2 linked regions of the Astyanax mexicanus genome follow. The protein of the gene in region 2 purifies or fractionates together with the protein of the main gene of each other region. This does not show direct contact. Links are inferred from orthologs where the notes say so. Each region holds a gene or a part of one and is shown on either strand. Other genes may lie near its edges.

Region 1 (7,958 bases), about 34 Mb from region 2:
TTGCAGCTGACATGATTTGTAAAACAAATTAAATGTATCCTCTATGCTTTCATCAAAGAATGAAAAACCTGTAAATTAAACCTGTGACATTCCAAAGTCTATGAGTATCAAAAATACACAATGATGTAAAAAGCAGAAAGTGTTGAGAGGTGTTAAGTATTTCTTTCTAATTGAACAGTGTAATGATCATGTTTTTATCACTTTTAGAACATTAATAATGTATGCTGTTATAGTAGTACATACTGTGTATATAGAAACAGTATGCATGCATGTATGTACAGAAAGCTGTATGAATTTTATAAGGCACAATAGGTGCCTTATTTCATGATTGATCTACAAACCTTGGCTTATTATAACTAGTGTACAAGGGCCTTTTGCAGGGGCAAGGGCTTATTCTAACTTGTGTGATTTGGCAAAAGGACAAAAACAGCATCAATGCCAACTTGTTAGAATAAGTCTTGACAGGCTTATTCTGTAGGTGTAATATAGTCTTAAAAATGCTGTTCTTCACTATAATCTTGTAATGTATTGAATCATATAGTATATCTCATCTCTTTTGTTGCTATAATATATATATAATAATATAATATAATATAAGACTGTAAGTAGCCCAATGGAATGATACATGAAATAAATGCTACTAAAGCTAAAACTCAGTACACACAACAAGACAGAAAAAAAACCAAACTAAAGGCTATTTCTGCCTTTATCTCACTAATGTGTAGACGGCAAACACCTAGGGTAGGCCTGCCACAATAGTTACATTATTAATACAATATGTATATTCCCCTTAATACTGCATACAGTAAGAAGAGTTCTAGTCTAGTTGACTTGGTTTAAGAGTAGCTCTATTATTTTTTACTATATTTCATTTGTTTAAGATATGTAATATTAATTTTATATTTCAAATTCTGAAGTCTAAGCATTCTTAATAATTTTAAGTTACCTGCTCATTAAAAGAAATGCATCCTTGCATTATCATGCTGTTATCATTATTATATTAGTGGCATGAAATGGTCTTCAACTGACAATAATTGTCGTTTATCGGGACAGGCCTAGCCCAGGGGATGAGACAGTGGGTTTCTAATCCGTGTATCATTCGTTCATTTGATATTCAATTGAGAATCAAAATCGGAAAATTAAAAAACCAATTCGTTTTTTCGTTTTTTCGTTTTTGAATATAATACCAAAAAACGAATAACGGCTTGTATTTTGTATTTTTATTTGGTTATCCAAACAAAAATTGGAAATTTAAAAAACGGACCAGGAGCCGAATTTGATTTTGATTTTGAACTTGACCAATTTGTGTGCCCGGAAGTTACTGATTTGTTTATTCTTGGTGGGTTTCTGTTGCGCGGGAGTTCACTGCAGTGTTATCTACACAGTCTGTATTGCTGTAGGCTTTGGATGGAGTTGAGGATGGAGAGTTTTATCTTGTTCAGAGGAACTAAACGCGTTGCAGTGAAAGAAGACGATATGACAACAGAAAATACATGTCTTTTTCGCTTAAGGTCGTGTTGAACACAGAACCTTCTAACACTCATTGCAGAACATCGCTGGATCCCCATTTGCTGCAACGTGCACGAAATCTCTTCATGCGTCTTACCACCTTCAAAAAGATCTTTAATTAGGCCAGAATGTGGTTCCAGTCCGGCCATGCTGCCTACAGCAATACAGACTGTGTAGATAACACTGCAGTGAACTCCCGCGCAACAGAAACCCACCAAGAATAAACAAATCAGTAACTTCCGGGGCACACAAATGGGTCAAGTTCAAAATCAAAATCAAATTCGGCTCCTGGTCCGTTTTTTAAATTTCCAATTTTTGTTTGGATAACCAAATAAAAATACAAAATACAAGCCGTTATTCGTTTTTTGGTATTATATTCAAAAACGAAAAAACGAAAAAACGAATTGGTTTTTTAATTTTCCGATTTTGATTCTCAATTGAATATCAAATGAACGAATGATACACGGATTGTTTCTCTTCCTCTTTTTTCATTTTTTCTCCACAAACAGAGCAGATGCTACGAGACTTTCTGGTGCTCTTTAAACCTTTTGCTCTTATAGAAACATGCATGTCTTTAGGCCCAACTGCTGCTTTATCCTGTCAGAATCCACAGAAGCGCTTGAACTAAATGAGTCTCAGTAGTCTGTGATTTAAGCAGAAGTTCTCCAGAGAGACAGAGGCATAGGGGTGGTGGAGGGCGAGCCAGGGCTCAGCATTAGAGCTGAGAACATGAGCCAGTGGTCAGACAGCAAACAGCAGCGGGATTTTATACTGCTCCAGGGATTAAATGTTGAATTTAGAGAGAAAAACTAAAATGTGCTAAAACATGGAGATGCTCAGAACAGATTGAAATAATAAATCATGACTTCCTATTATTTGTAGAGATCACTTTTTAAGACTTTCTGAGACTTTTTGTAGAAATCAGTACTTTTCGAATTATATTTCTAGTTTTTAAAGCATTTATTAAGACTTTATGAGACTTTAGAGGAAAGATATACTCAAGTTAGGCTTATTATTTCTCATAGACAAGTTCTCTTTGTGAACAATGTAAAATTGAAGCACTATTCTTTTGCTTATTAAAGTATTATTACTTGATTAAGACTTAATGAGACGTTTCTGAGCTCTCTTCTTGGTATTATTATTTCTCATAGACATGGTTAAGTCGTGTTGGAGGCCAATGTGAGATTGAAACACTTTTCTTCTGCTTCTTCAACCCACCTTTTTTTTATATCATAATTATGTGTCTCACATGTGGTTTAAACTTTTTTTTCCAGACAGAATGGTCTCAATTTAGTGTCATTTATAAATGATTCCTAGAATAATCTCATTTATTATAAAGCTCTATGTAATATATATATATATATATATATATATATATATATATATATATATATATATATATTTTTTTTTTTTTTTTTCTGTATTTTTGTTATATCTCAGAAAAATTTAACTAACTTAGCTAGCCTAGCCCCCCCCACAGTTCTCAGTGCTGATGCTGCTCCGATGGTTTCAGAAACCAGTGAAAAATAATATTCACATTTGTTGTATTTCTCCTAAAGCCAAATATAAGAAAATGCAGGGTTTCTTTCTGTATTTCTGTGATAATTTCCAGTGTTTTTAAGGCTTCCTCTCGCTCACAGTGCAGGACGTAGCCCAGTCTGAGAGGAAAAGGCGTGAATGAAATGCCAAACCCAAACACCCTGAAGGTAAATGTAGTGTTTTTGATGGTTTAGCCATCCAGCTAAATATAGGCAGCTGTGAGGAGCCGCACTCGCTGTAAGGAGTTTCTGTGGAAAAGCAGCTCTCCAGAGCCGCACTCGGCTTTCCAGTACAGAAAAAAACGAGTGAAAACTGTAAAAAGGAGAGACAGAAAAGTTAGAAGAAGTCAGGAGAAAAGTCTTCTTCACCTACCTGGAGAGTCACCGAGAAGCAGAAGAGAGTCCTGAGGGACTTTCTCCGTCACTTCTGTAGAGCTCACACCGCTTTCTCCCAAATCCTGCTCGGGGGGACCAAGAGAAACTGAGGCACACTTGTCAAACTTTCCTCGCTTATAAGAGACTTTCGTGCGGCGGTGAGAAGAAAAAAAAAGAAAAGTGAGCAAGCACCAAAGTTACAGAAGTCATGTGACCCCCTACGTCAGAGTTTTTTTATCTCCTTACTCTGAGTTTTGGTGAATATTTTCTCCTGGAAAAGAAACTTGTTGATTTGAATCTCATTTGTTTTCCATAAAAAAATATTTATCAACTAATTTCATAGAGTTTGTTCTCTGTAAAAAAAAAAACTTTTAAAACTTAATGCAGAACTTTATGCAGGCTACAGTACCAGATAAAAGTTTAGACACATCTCTGCTCATGTAATGATTTTCTTTCTATTTATATATGTTTATATAGTAAATTTAATATTAAAGCTATCCATGAACACATGGAATTATGTTATAAACAAACCAGACTATGTTTTATTCTTCTAAGTAGCACATTAAGCTTTAAGGACAGATCTGCACTGAGATTTTAATCTCAGTGTAGTAACCTAGAATAGTCTTTAAGGAGTTTCTGGAGGTGCTGAACAACAGTTATAGTTGCTGCTTTTAGTTGCTGCTCCAGCTCATCCCAAATCTTAAAATTCCCCATCTCAGTTGATCAGGTTCAGGTCAGAGGATTGTGGAGGAATAGCGGTTTTTACTGTTTACTACATAATTCCATATGTGCCCCTTAGTAGTTTTAATAACTTCCATGTATGTAGTATTAATCTACAATGTAGAAAATACATGAATCCTTTATGGCATGGGGTTGCCCTCAGGCAACAAACCATTTTTTTCATAATTACATTATGTTCATTATACCTTTTTTTTATATAATGTCTCAAAAGAAGCATCCATCAAATAAAATGAGGGGAAGAGTTTAGTTCAACATTCTGCATCGAGGTGAAGTAATCTGCAAACCAAACCTACATGAAACACAATACCAATAACTGATAAGATGAATATAATGTTCTAACATATTTAAATTTAACTACCTTTAAGATAAAATAATAAAACATGTCCACCAGTATGTAATGAAATATATTGGGGGTTTTAATCACATTTTAAATAAAGAAAATCATTGAATGAGATGTGTCCAAACTTTTCACTGGTACTGTATGAACACACCAACAGAGATTCTCCATTAAACTGCACATTGTAACTCAGTTCATCAATTGCATCAGTTTTTCTCAGTTCATCATTTGCATCAGTTTTTATATTTAGATATTTTTTATTTATATTTATTGATTGAAACACAGAAAATATGGTTATCAAACACGTTTAGAACAAATTCAAATATAAAAAAAAATGATAGTAGTAGTAAAAAAAGTATGTTCATTGCAGAAGAGATATGAATTTTGAGGCTTCTGAAAACAACAATTCGGTCAGAACAGACATTTACACATGGTTAGAGTTAATATTTTCTCTTAAAAAAGAAATATCTACCTTCATCACTTTGATTTCTGCCATATATACCCTTGTTTGGGAATGATAAAACACTGAAACTTTAATTCAAGTATAACACACCAACAGAGATGCTCCACTAACTGCACAGCGTGACCCAGTACATCAGTTACATCAGCTTTTCTCATATTTAAGAAATATTTATGTATACATTTATATATGATTATAATTATATAGATATGTATGATTAATTTTGTTTCATTTTTTTATTGCACATGATCCTCAAATATTTGGGCATTCAACACATTTGCAACATATGTAAATATATAAAACACAAGTAAAGTAAGTGTATTGCAGAGTAATAGTACTAGAAATATATGTCTGAGGCTTTTGAATACAACACTTTGGTCAAAACAGATTTTCAGACATTGTAACACTGTAACACCAAGGAGTTCATCTCACTCAACAGGTGCACTGCGACCTCTAGTGTAAGACTTTAGTAATGCATTTCAGATGTGTGGCTGTGGAGTAGTGTTTCTTTATCATGGTCCTGGAGGAACCCTGCATCCCTTCTTCTTCCTGCATTTATTGCCTTTTTTCTGCTTCCAGCACACTTGATTCAACAGATTAATTACATTTCAGTCTTTTAGAGGAAAACCTCTAAAATGTGCACGGCAGGGTGCCTCCAGGACCAGGATAGAGAAACACTGCTCTCATATGTCACGATTCTACAGTTCAGCCTTTTCTTCATGAGCAGCAGGGCTGCTGCTCCTCTGGGCCCATTTGCTCTCCATGCTGGTGTTCACACGGTTCTGCTTCAGACTTTCCACAGCTTCTAGGCCTATTGAAAATGAGGGAGGATGCATGTAATGGTGTTGTGGGTTGTAGTGCACCATACTTCTAGATTTAGGTCGTCTGCACATCCTCCTGCAACACAGATAGCACACTTCCAGCACGTTTAAGGCCAGAGACACACATGCTACCACCAGCATGAAGATAATGAAGATGGTCTTCTCTGTGGGCCTGGACATGAAACACTCTGTCTCCAACGGACAGGGCGATTGTTTGCAGAGAAATCTGGGAAACATCACAAAACCATATAGATAATACTGCCCAACGATGAAAGCCAGCTCCAGGATGATTTTGAAAAACAGCTGAGTCAGGTAGCTCCCCAACAGCCTCCCCTTGATTCGCACTTTGCCGTTCTCGTCTGTGTATTTCGGAGATTTCACTATCTGATTGGACTTCTGCATCTCCCTGAGCTTGTTCTCCTGGTGGATGACATGGATAGCATGGCCCAGGTACAGTAGAGTTGGAGTGGACACAAAGAGGATCTGCAAGACCCAGAAGCGCACGTGGGAGATGGGGAACTTCCAGTCGTAGCACACGCTCTCACAACCGGGCGTGTTGGTGTTACAGGTCATGTCTGATCGTTCATCCCCCCAGACGTTCTCCACTCCTGCTCCCAGGACCAGGATCCTGAAGATGAAGAGGACGCTCATCCATATCTTCCCAATCACAGTGGAGTGGGACTGCACCTTGTCCAGTAAACTCGAGAGAAACCCCCAATCTCCCATTCTCTTTGGTGCTCAGGGTTATTCTAGAAGAGAACGAGAAATAATGTCAAATTATTTTATACACTGTTAAACCAATACATGACAAAAAAATTATCCCCAGCAATCTGGCAGCAGGGGCGCCAAAAATATTCGTAAAAATGCTCCATAAATCTTCATGAGTAGCAGTGATTTTAACAGACCCCTTTTTACAGATATTTAAAAAAAACATATATTTCCAAAAAATAAAATATTTTTTTATGATAGTGATATATCAGCATAACAGTTAATCTAAAAACGAACATCAACTACTACTTTTTTTAGGTTAGTTAAAATAAAGCTGACCAAAAATGATAATTCATGTATTCTTATTTCCTGTATAATCACATTTCAGTTTATTTATTTATTTTATTTAGGTGTCTGTTTTCACCGATAATAAAGGTTAAAGACTATTTAATTGAAGCTTAAAAACGCTGTCAAAATGTGTATTAATTCTTTATAGAAATATAAAAATTGTAACATTTGTAACATTTAAAATTGTCTGTGTTTTGTTTTTTTTGGTAACCTGTATTGTAAACATGTTTTAGTAATAAGCAATGTTAAATTGTTAAGTAATGCCTAAGCTAATTATTAACACTAGTTAAGACATGAATAAACATTGTTAAATTTGATTGCTTAAGAATGTAAATATGGCCTGGCTCTTCATCCTGGTTTAAAGAGCTTATGTCCTTTTTGTATTTAGAGACAATTAAGCATACAATTAGAGGATCCTTGAAAACATTCTAGAAAACTTGGGACCCCCTCCTTTCTTATGATCCACAAAACATCAACCAACAATCTGACACTGAAGATTAGTGACACTCCCCTTTTTTTATACTTTTAGTTATAAGTTAATATTTGTTTATGTATTTTATTTTGTGTTTTATTTAATTATGTTTATATCTTTGTTTTACTTTGTTTTTGTTTAACATGCATATTTATTTGTGTTTATGTATCTTTGTAAGTTGTAATGTATAGACCACCATGCCCTTTTCATATAATGTCTTAAGTTATTCTCATTTCATGGGTGAAGGTGGGATGGCTGAGGGTGGGTGGTTTGGGGGTTTGTGGCTTGTAATTGATATATACTTGATTGTACTACTTTTATGGTTTGCCCAATAAACATATATATATATATATATATATATATATATATATATATATATATATATATATATATATATAAAGAATGTAAATATGAATTAATTGAGACATTAGTTTAAAAAATGTAATGATTACATTGTCTTACCTACTATGTTATAACTGTCTTATCTAATGTTAATTAATAATTAGTTGGGACATTTTGTCGTTAGTACTGATAATTAATGTAACCTTGTTAAGTGTTACTAGTGTTTATATATCTAGAGTATTAAGCACAGGCTTAGATACACAGGCTAATTGTTTAAAATACATAATTCAAGTAGTTTTCACCCTAG
Region 2 (8,153 bases):
TCATAAAGGGCTAACATTTTTTCATTCATTTAAAATCAAACAGAAAGTTACCTCAGTGTACACAAAGATTGTGTAAACATATGATACAATGTTCAATAAACAGCAGATTAAGATAGCTTTCATAAACAAAAACACCAAATTATCAAACAGCATAATCAAATTAATACGTACCCAGAACACCGGTAAAAACAGAGACGGTGTATTATGTATTAAAACTTTATAAATAAAACTTCATTTCTTTTTACAATTCATAAGACGTACTAAGATGTACTGAGCATAAAAAAAACACTACAAATGTAACCAATAACTAATCAGTTATTGGCCACTATCAAATTACAGCATAGACAAAATACCAGTAAATCCACAAACAGTATACTATTAACATGTACTGTGAATATCAAACATTACCCCTTTTTTTTTCGTCCACATTTTGTAAACAACTATATGTTGTAGTTGTTTTTCTATTTTCCTTATTTATTTATTTGTATAGATTTTTATATACGTAGTTTAATTATGACATACGATTTATATTTGGTACGTATGCCATGTCTATTGGACCTGTAGGAAAATAAAAGAGAGGGTCCAGATAAAATAATAAAACAAACTACTAATATCTAACACAGGGAATCTCTCATCTGCACAGGGATGGACATTTTAGCAAGCTGACAAAATAAAGCAAAAAACTGAATAAAAAATAGTGTATGAAAAGTTGGCTGGTTCTCTCCTGCTCCTCGAGAGAAACACAAGGGTTTATTTTAATCAAGTTTATGTATTTGTTCATTCATTCATCTGTAACTGCATACCTTACATTTTTATTACCTTTAACCTGTAAATTTATAATTCCAACTAATTTCTTATTCTTATTATCTCATTTGTTTGAGATGTAATTTTAAAATCTTATTAAAATTCTGGGTCTTTATTTATTTATTCATTCTTTTTCTTTGACAGTCCCTTACCTGTGTACTGGCTTGGCTACATTGTAAATGAGTGAAACCCTCAATGTATTTCGAGTTTAAATAGACAGATTGAACCTGATGTTTATTAAAGATATAGACCTACAAAATGTATTACCAGCTCATTAATCTGCTTTAAATCCACATTAAAACATTAGTAACCAACCTAACTAGCTAGCTAACCATCACTGTTAATTAAATCCCCATTATCAACAATTAGCAGGTTAACCGGCTAAAACCGTGTTTATATCGCTAACTAGCTGCGTTTGAGTGAAACATCAGTGTTCATATAGTGAATTCAGGCCTAATTCGCCTCCTTTTGGACACTATAGGTGAATAAAACCCTCTAAAACAGGGGAAATGACTAAGTAAAAATTAGCAGCTGAGTTGTAGGGCTAGAACCTTCCGTAGCTAAGCTAACGGCTAGGCTAACTCAGCTAATATTAAGCTAATGCTAACAGCCTAGCTTACTTAGCGGTAGCCAACCGAGCTCGATCTGCCGTCGCCTCAGACAGTGCGCAGAACAGCCGCTACCCTCTCCAGAGAGACAAAACGAGCACTTATGAAGCAAACCTGCCGTGTTTAATCGCGTTAAACTGATAATAAAGGGTTAAAGTAGCGATTAAAACCTTTACACGCACAAAAAGAGGTTGTTTCAGTAGGAAGGAATAGCTAACTAGCTACGCGCTGCCGCCATAGAAGCTAGCCGGGTGTCCTGTCGATTTGTGCTACCCTTTCGAAACCTGCTACCACCGTCTAGTTACAATGTACACCTTACTATAGATAAGGCTGTGTAACCGCTATAAATAAATAAAACAGTCTTTAATATGGGTTATAATACTCAAAAAGGGTAAAATAAGCATATTACAAATTCCTTTTAAGCGGGAAAAAGAGAAATGTATATAGGTTCTCAATCTAAAAAGAATCTTAAGTAGCTAAAAGCCCGGAGGAAAATAATAAGCTAATTAACAATAAAAGGATAGAAAAGTGCAAACTATATACAATATATAAAATCAAATAAAGACTTATTACTAAGACATTATAAAAAGACAATACAAAACGTAAAAGAAAATTAAAAGAGAAAAATATAAAATCTGTCAAAAAAAAAGTACAATGAGGCTACCTAGCTAAAATGAACTATGAAATAAAAAGTGAAAATGAAAAGTTAAAATAAAAAAACAAAAACAGCTACAAGCTGAGTGGAGGACAAGTTTAAAATGATTTTAATTAAAATCGTGAATATAAGTATAGTATATGCTATGGGTTATAATGTTTCAAAATGCTAAAATATTTCTCAGAAAATCCTATTAAGAGGACAAATTGTAAAAAAAATATATATAGCTTCTTAATCTAGATAAAACAGATACAAAATTTTCTTAAGTAGCTAAAAACAATAAAAGGAAGGTGATGTTAAGTGTAAATAAAATAAAATACATAAAATCAAATGAAGACTGGACATTAAAATCAACAAATAAAAACAAAACAAATGATAATGGAATAGTCTAAAAGGCAAAACGGAAAATAAAATGAAACAAAATGTAAAAATACAATGACAAAAGCTACAACAAAGTATAAAATAAAAAATAACGAACATAAATAATAAACTAAATAAACTAAAATGTAAATAAACCTAAATAAAACAGTTACAAACTGAATGGGGTGGATAGAAATGAAGTTTAAAATGATTTAAAAACAGAATCATCACGAAAAACACGTCATATGTCTAAAGAACAATTCGTCCGCGCATGCGCAGAACGCTTGAGCTGCACAAATTCGACGGCTAGCAGAACTCGACGGAACACCAGGTATGAACTGAGAGCCAGGCCGACTTTCTCCTCTTCATTTTCCTCATAAATGCTGCGTTAAATCCGCACTACCCACTCAAAACCCGCACACACCAGTTAATAAGGAGTGTAACATTAAAGCTGTGTGTTCAAATGTGAGTTACACAGACGGTTTCAGCCCGAAAAGCAGCGCTGAACTGATCGCCGCTGATTCTGGATCAGCCGATTCATGTCGGACAGCTGACTGAGCCGCTCTCACACACACAGCTACACACCCGCACACACACAGCTACATGTACACGAACACACGGAGCGGCGGCGGCGGCCCGGGTTACCTGTGAGACGGACGCGTCCTCGGATATGGCGATCTCCTCCTTGTCCTTGGGCGTTTTGACGGTGACCATGATGATGGTGCCGCCGGTCGCCGCATTCTCCTCGGATTTTCCCTCCACGGCGGGGTCCGCGCCGCTGTTCTCCGCCATCTTTTCTCTGCTCTCTTCACTTCATCACGTCACCGCGAGAAGAGCCGCGAGAGCAGCGACAAGAGCGGACCGGAAACAGCGCCCCCACGCGGAGCCGCGCGCGCCCAGTCACACTTTTACACACACACACGCACACACACATATACATCTCTAGAAAAAATAAGAGACCACTTAAAAACTTAAAGAGTTTCTCTGAATATAATTCAGAGGAAGACGGATGATCACAAGCCATCAAAACAAGATGAACTGCTTGAATTTTTGCATCAGGAGTAAAGGCATAAAGCTATTCAAAAGCAGTGTGCAAGACTGGTGGAGGAGAACATGCCAAGATGCATGAAAAACTTTTATTAAAAACAAGGGTTATTCCACCAAATATTGATTTCTATACTCTTAAAACTTTATGACTATAAACTCGTTTTATTTGCATTATTTGAGGTCTGAAAGCTCTGCATCTTTTTTGTTATTTCAGCCATTTCTTATTTTCTGCAAATAAAAGCAAATTTATTTGGAATCTGGGAGAAATATTGTCCGTAGTTTATAAAAATAAATAAAATTAAACCACAATGTTATTTTTACTCAAACATATACCTATAAATAGCAAAATCAGAGAAACTGCATTAATATTACATTAATACACTTTGTGACAAAATATGAAAAAAATAACGAATTACATGTACTATGGGTAAATTTACTGATATTGACTTTGGTTACTTTGGCAATTTTTGGCGTTAAGCGTATGTTGGCCTGATGTTGGATGCAAACCGCTATTTGACACTGGACCTATACTTTGGTTGTCAATTGGTGTTTAATATTGGGCCTATGTTGGCCTGATGGTGGGTGCCAACCGATGTTTAATATTGGGCCTATGTTGGCCCGATGTTGGGTGTCAACCAATTATTAATATTGGGCCTATATTGGCCTGAAATTGGGTGTCAAACAATGTTTGATGGAACTAAAATAAATAAATAAATACAGAATACGTTCACGCATTAAATACACCATTCTGAAAGCAACAAGATTTTAATTATAATGGTTGTAATGGTCTTTGTACACTTTTTAAATGAATTTAAAACAGTTGAAGCACATCAGGAACAAATAGTTCTGTTTTATATGTTTTTTTTTTTCTATAATGGGTAAAAGAAGGCTCATGCTGATATTTATTAGATTCAGTATAAGGGGATCAGTTTACTTAAGAACATTGCCCACTCTGCCCTGTAGATGGTACCAGTACACCATTCACCTTTCCACTCACCAGTACCATAGCACCATCTCTTTACTGTAGGCAGCATGAGGTCAGATTTTGCTAAGGTAGAAATGTAGGAAGGATGCTGGACCTGACCAAGTCTTTTTCAGCTACAGTAAAGTTCTGTGCAGATTCATTTTGCACTAGTAGTTTTTGCACTGCAAATTTAAATTATTATATAACTATGTATTTGCACCTTTTGTATGGCTGGCATCAGTTACCCTCATAATATGCACATCAACTGGTGTTCATTGTCTAATGTGTTCAACTGCACTACCTCCATTACACACTACTGTACTTATACTTTATATTTCATAGTATTGTTTTATTTTATCCTTCCTTACTAACTGTTGTGTATTGTGTATATCTGCTGCTGGATGGCCAAAAGTTCCAAAACTATCTATCTGTCTGTCTGTCTGTCTGTCTAACCATTTGAACCCTAGGCTGTTTCTATCTAACCCTATGAACTCAGGTCTTATAACACAGTAATTATATCAGACAGTCACATGCCCTGATCTCTTTTACTCCAGAAGACATACGACTGCTCAAAAATATAATCATTTAAAATGTAAAAGGGAACTGATCATGTTTTGGTCAAAATTTTACCAAGTGCCTGTTTTTTTTTTTTTTTAACTTATTTTTGAATCTATAGACTTTAAAATATATTTACACCTGAGATATCTTTTCAAAAACTGTTAGACTAGAGTGTTTATGAGTTAAAATAATAAGAATATTGATGAAAGTTCATTACATAGCTTATTATTTATTACTTTAACAAAATACATGGAGAAACAGCATCAGGTGGATTTATTTATCTTGATAATCAATAATCACACCTCTAGGATACATGTAGATACTAAAAACCTGACACTCAGAGCAGACTATGCCTTTCAGTATTTTAATCAGGACACACAAAGAAAACTAGATACAAAAATGTAACTTTTCAGTCTAAATAAATAAAAATGTTTAGTGCAAAATAACTACTTAATAAAAATGTGCAAGTAAAATAAAAACTATATAAAGTAGTGCGCACACCATACCTAGCTTTAGTTTGAGTAAAGCAGGTAGTTTCACACTTTTTTTGTGGACACTTTTGAGTCTTTATTTATTTGGTTTGAAACATCATATAAATGTGTTTGAAGCACTAAAGGTAAATAATAGTGGTTGGGGCAGGAGATCCCACTTTATTATGTGTTTTTCTCAATGGGTTTTTTGTAGATGCTACAGTAAGTACTGGGATGTGATCACTATTTTTAGAAAGAGTAAGTTCTTCCCTTTCTAATCATATATGGATTATGTTAATGTGTGAAGGGATTCCTGAGTAATTAAGCTGAGAACACAAGGTGCGATTTTGGAAGGAAAATTCGTCCATAGGGTTCAAAGGGTTAAAAAGTGCAAAGGGCATACTGTAAATAAACCAATCATTGTGTCACTCGCCATTCCCTTTAAGAGCCAGGTGCGCTCTGAGTTTGGCGGATTGGTATTTTATACCAGCGCTTCTGCGCTTTTCAGCAGAGAAAACTGACTTGTTTGTTCACGCTGTACAGATGTATGAGCAGATCATTTACAGAAACAGCAATGTTGTTATTATTATTAATTATTTTAATAGTATTTAGTTTTTTGTTGATGTAAAAGTTGGGAAATATGCCAGAAATTGATCTGAACACACCTCACTTCCAGACCACCAATACAATTTTAGAGTGGCAGGGAGAGTGAGTGAGGGAGAGTGAGAGAAAGAGTGAGTGAGTAAGAAGAAAGGAAAGAAAAAAGAGACTGGGAGAAGGGGGGAAGGAGAGAGAGGATGAGAGACAGGGAGAGAAATAGAGAGAGAGAGAACAAGACAGGAAGAAGAAGAAAGAGAGAGAGAGAGAATTAGAGAGAGAAAGAGAGAGGGGAAGGAGAGAAATAGAGAGAGAGAGTGTTCCAGTGTGGCGTGTGTAGACGGGTCTTACTGTTCTGGAGGAAGGTTTACACAAATATCTTACACGAAACTCTGAGATATTGCTTTTATTAAGAAGCTGGACTGTTTCATAACTACAGATGAACTTAATCTTGAGATTACTCAAGAATGCATTTATCAAGAAAATTCCCAGATGTGTTATTGCTCTGTCTTAAAAACCAAGGACAATATTTCAATAACCTGAGAGTGTAGAGTATTATTTAATATCCTTAAATAGCAAGTGCACTGCATATATTGGTCCTATATTCTTGTGTTCTACTGAGTTTGTTCTTGTAAGGTGATTTCAGTCCAAGAACAAAAGTACATTTTTCAATTTTGTAATAAGAAAAAACCCAGACGTCTATGGGTAGAAGTTGTTTAGGTAACTTAAGAGGAAACTATGCCATATTAATAAAGAATAAACCAATTCAAAAAAGCTAATTCTAATTTTGGATTACATAGATAACTTTAACCCTTGTGTGGTGTTCATATTTTTGTTACTCGTTTACTTTGTTACTTGTATTTAATTCAGCAAAATTAAGCAATTAAAATGCTTTACACATGCTCGCTTCACCTAAATTGCAAGCAATATAAACAGCTTACATGGTTAATATTTGCCCTTTACCTTTCTTATGTTACATTTCTTTCAAAAAGTGCTAATCTTTTTTATTAGTTTAATAAAATGTAAAAGAAAATGAATTAAACTCAAGATATGAGTAGAAAATTTGTTTAGTTTCAAATTTACAAATGAAGCAATGTTTATTAGCCCTTGGCCAAACAGACTGTATGTAATATAAATGTGTAGGGGGGGGACAGTGTGTGTTTATCGAAAATGTGTTTTGATATATGTTTTTCACAAAAAATGAGCCAATGCCAATGAGTTTGAGTTAGAAAAAATATTTTTTAGTATCATTTGATGAAAAATGAAAACGGGTCCCACAGACCCGAACACCACACAAGGGTTAATAAAATAGCAGGAGTTGTTTTTTCTTAAATTATTTGGAATTTAAGAAATGTAAGATGTTCAGTTTGGTGCAGTTTATTTCTACCACTGTTTGCAGTATACAGGTATTAAGAAAATAAATAAAAGTTAAATATATTTTTGAATAAAAAGTACTAACTGTCAGCTTTTTGATTACTTGATTACTTTCTCTGTTTATGTCTACATATGATTAGCAGCAGTTATCAAACATTTTATTTATTTTATTTTAAACAAATGGTGCTATTAGTTCTGCTTTCAAAAAAGAAAAATGTTGGAAATGGGTAAAAAATGGGTAAATTTTATTCTTCTATTTTGCTAGCCTTAGCATGGTAATATTTTAATAATAGTGACTAACCTGAGAGTGTAGAGTATTATTTAATATCCTAAAATAGCAAGTGCACTGCATATATTGGTCATCCGTTCTTGTGTTCTTGTGTTCTACTGAGTTTGTTCTTGTAAGGTTATTTCAGTCCAAGCACAAAAGTCCATTTTTCAGTCTTGGTACTAAGAAAACCCCCAGACGTCTATGGGTAGAAGCTGTTTAGGTGACTTAAGAGGAAAATATGCAATATTAATAAAGAATAATACTATCAGAACTAAGTAAATTCATTTTTTTGGAATACATAGATAACTTAACTATTAATATAGCAGGAGTTTTTAAGTATTTAATTAAAATTTAATTTGGTGCAATTTAGTTATATCACAGTTTACAGTAAACAGGTATTGACAAAATACATAAAAGTTAAATACATTTTTAAATAAAAAGTGCT

The links. Proteins that work in one complex are often made in the same cells at the same time.
Region 1: the proteins of ubqln4 (region 2) and gja1b purify together in Homo sapiens (affinity purification with western blotting; 3 studies listed by BioGRID). This does not show direct contact. The link is inferred for Astyanax mexicanus from reciprocal best matches to the Homo sapiens genes UBQLN4 and GJA1.

The regions. Positions count from the first base shown.
Region 1 is NC_064408.1:81,831,510-81,839,467, reverse strand, and holds the start of gja1b (gap junction alpha-1 protein), read right to left. Parts: upstream 3,576-7,958; 5' UTR 3,421-3,575; intron 1-3,420. Other genes in the region: gja13.2 (gap junction Cx32.2 protein), read right to left, coding at 5,659-6,507. UniProt on the Homo sapiens protein: Gap junction protein that acts as a regulator of bladder capacity. A gap junction consists of a cluster of closely packed pairs of transmembrane channels, the connexons, through which materials of low MW diffuse from one cell to a neighboring cell.
Region 2 is NC_064408.1:115,871,491-115,879,643, reverse strand, and holds the start of ubqln4 (ubiquilin-4), read right to left. Parts: upstream 3,254-8,153; 5' UTR 3,220-3,253; coding exon 3,073-3,219; intron 1-3,072. UniProt on the Homo sapiens protein: Regulator of protein degradation that mediates the proteasomal targeting of misfolded, mislocalized or accumulated proteins.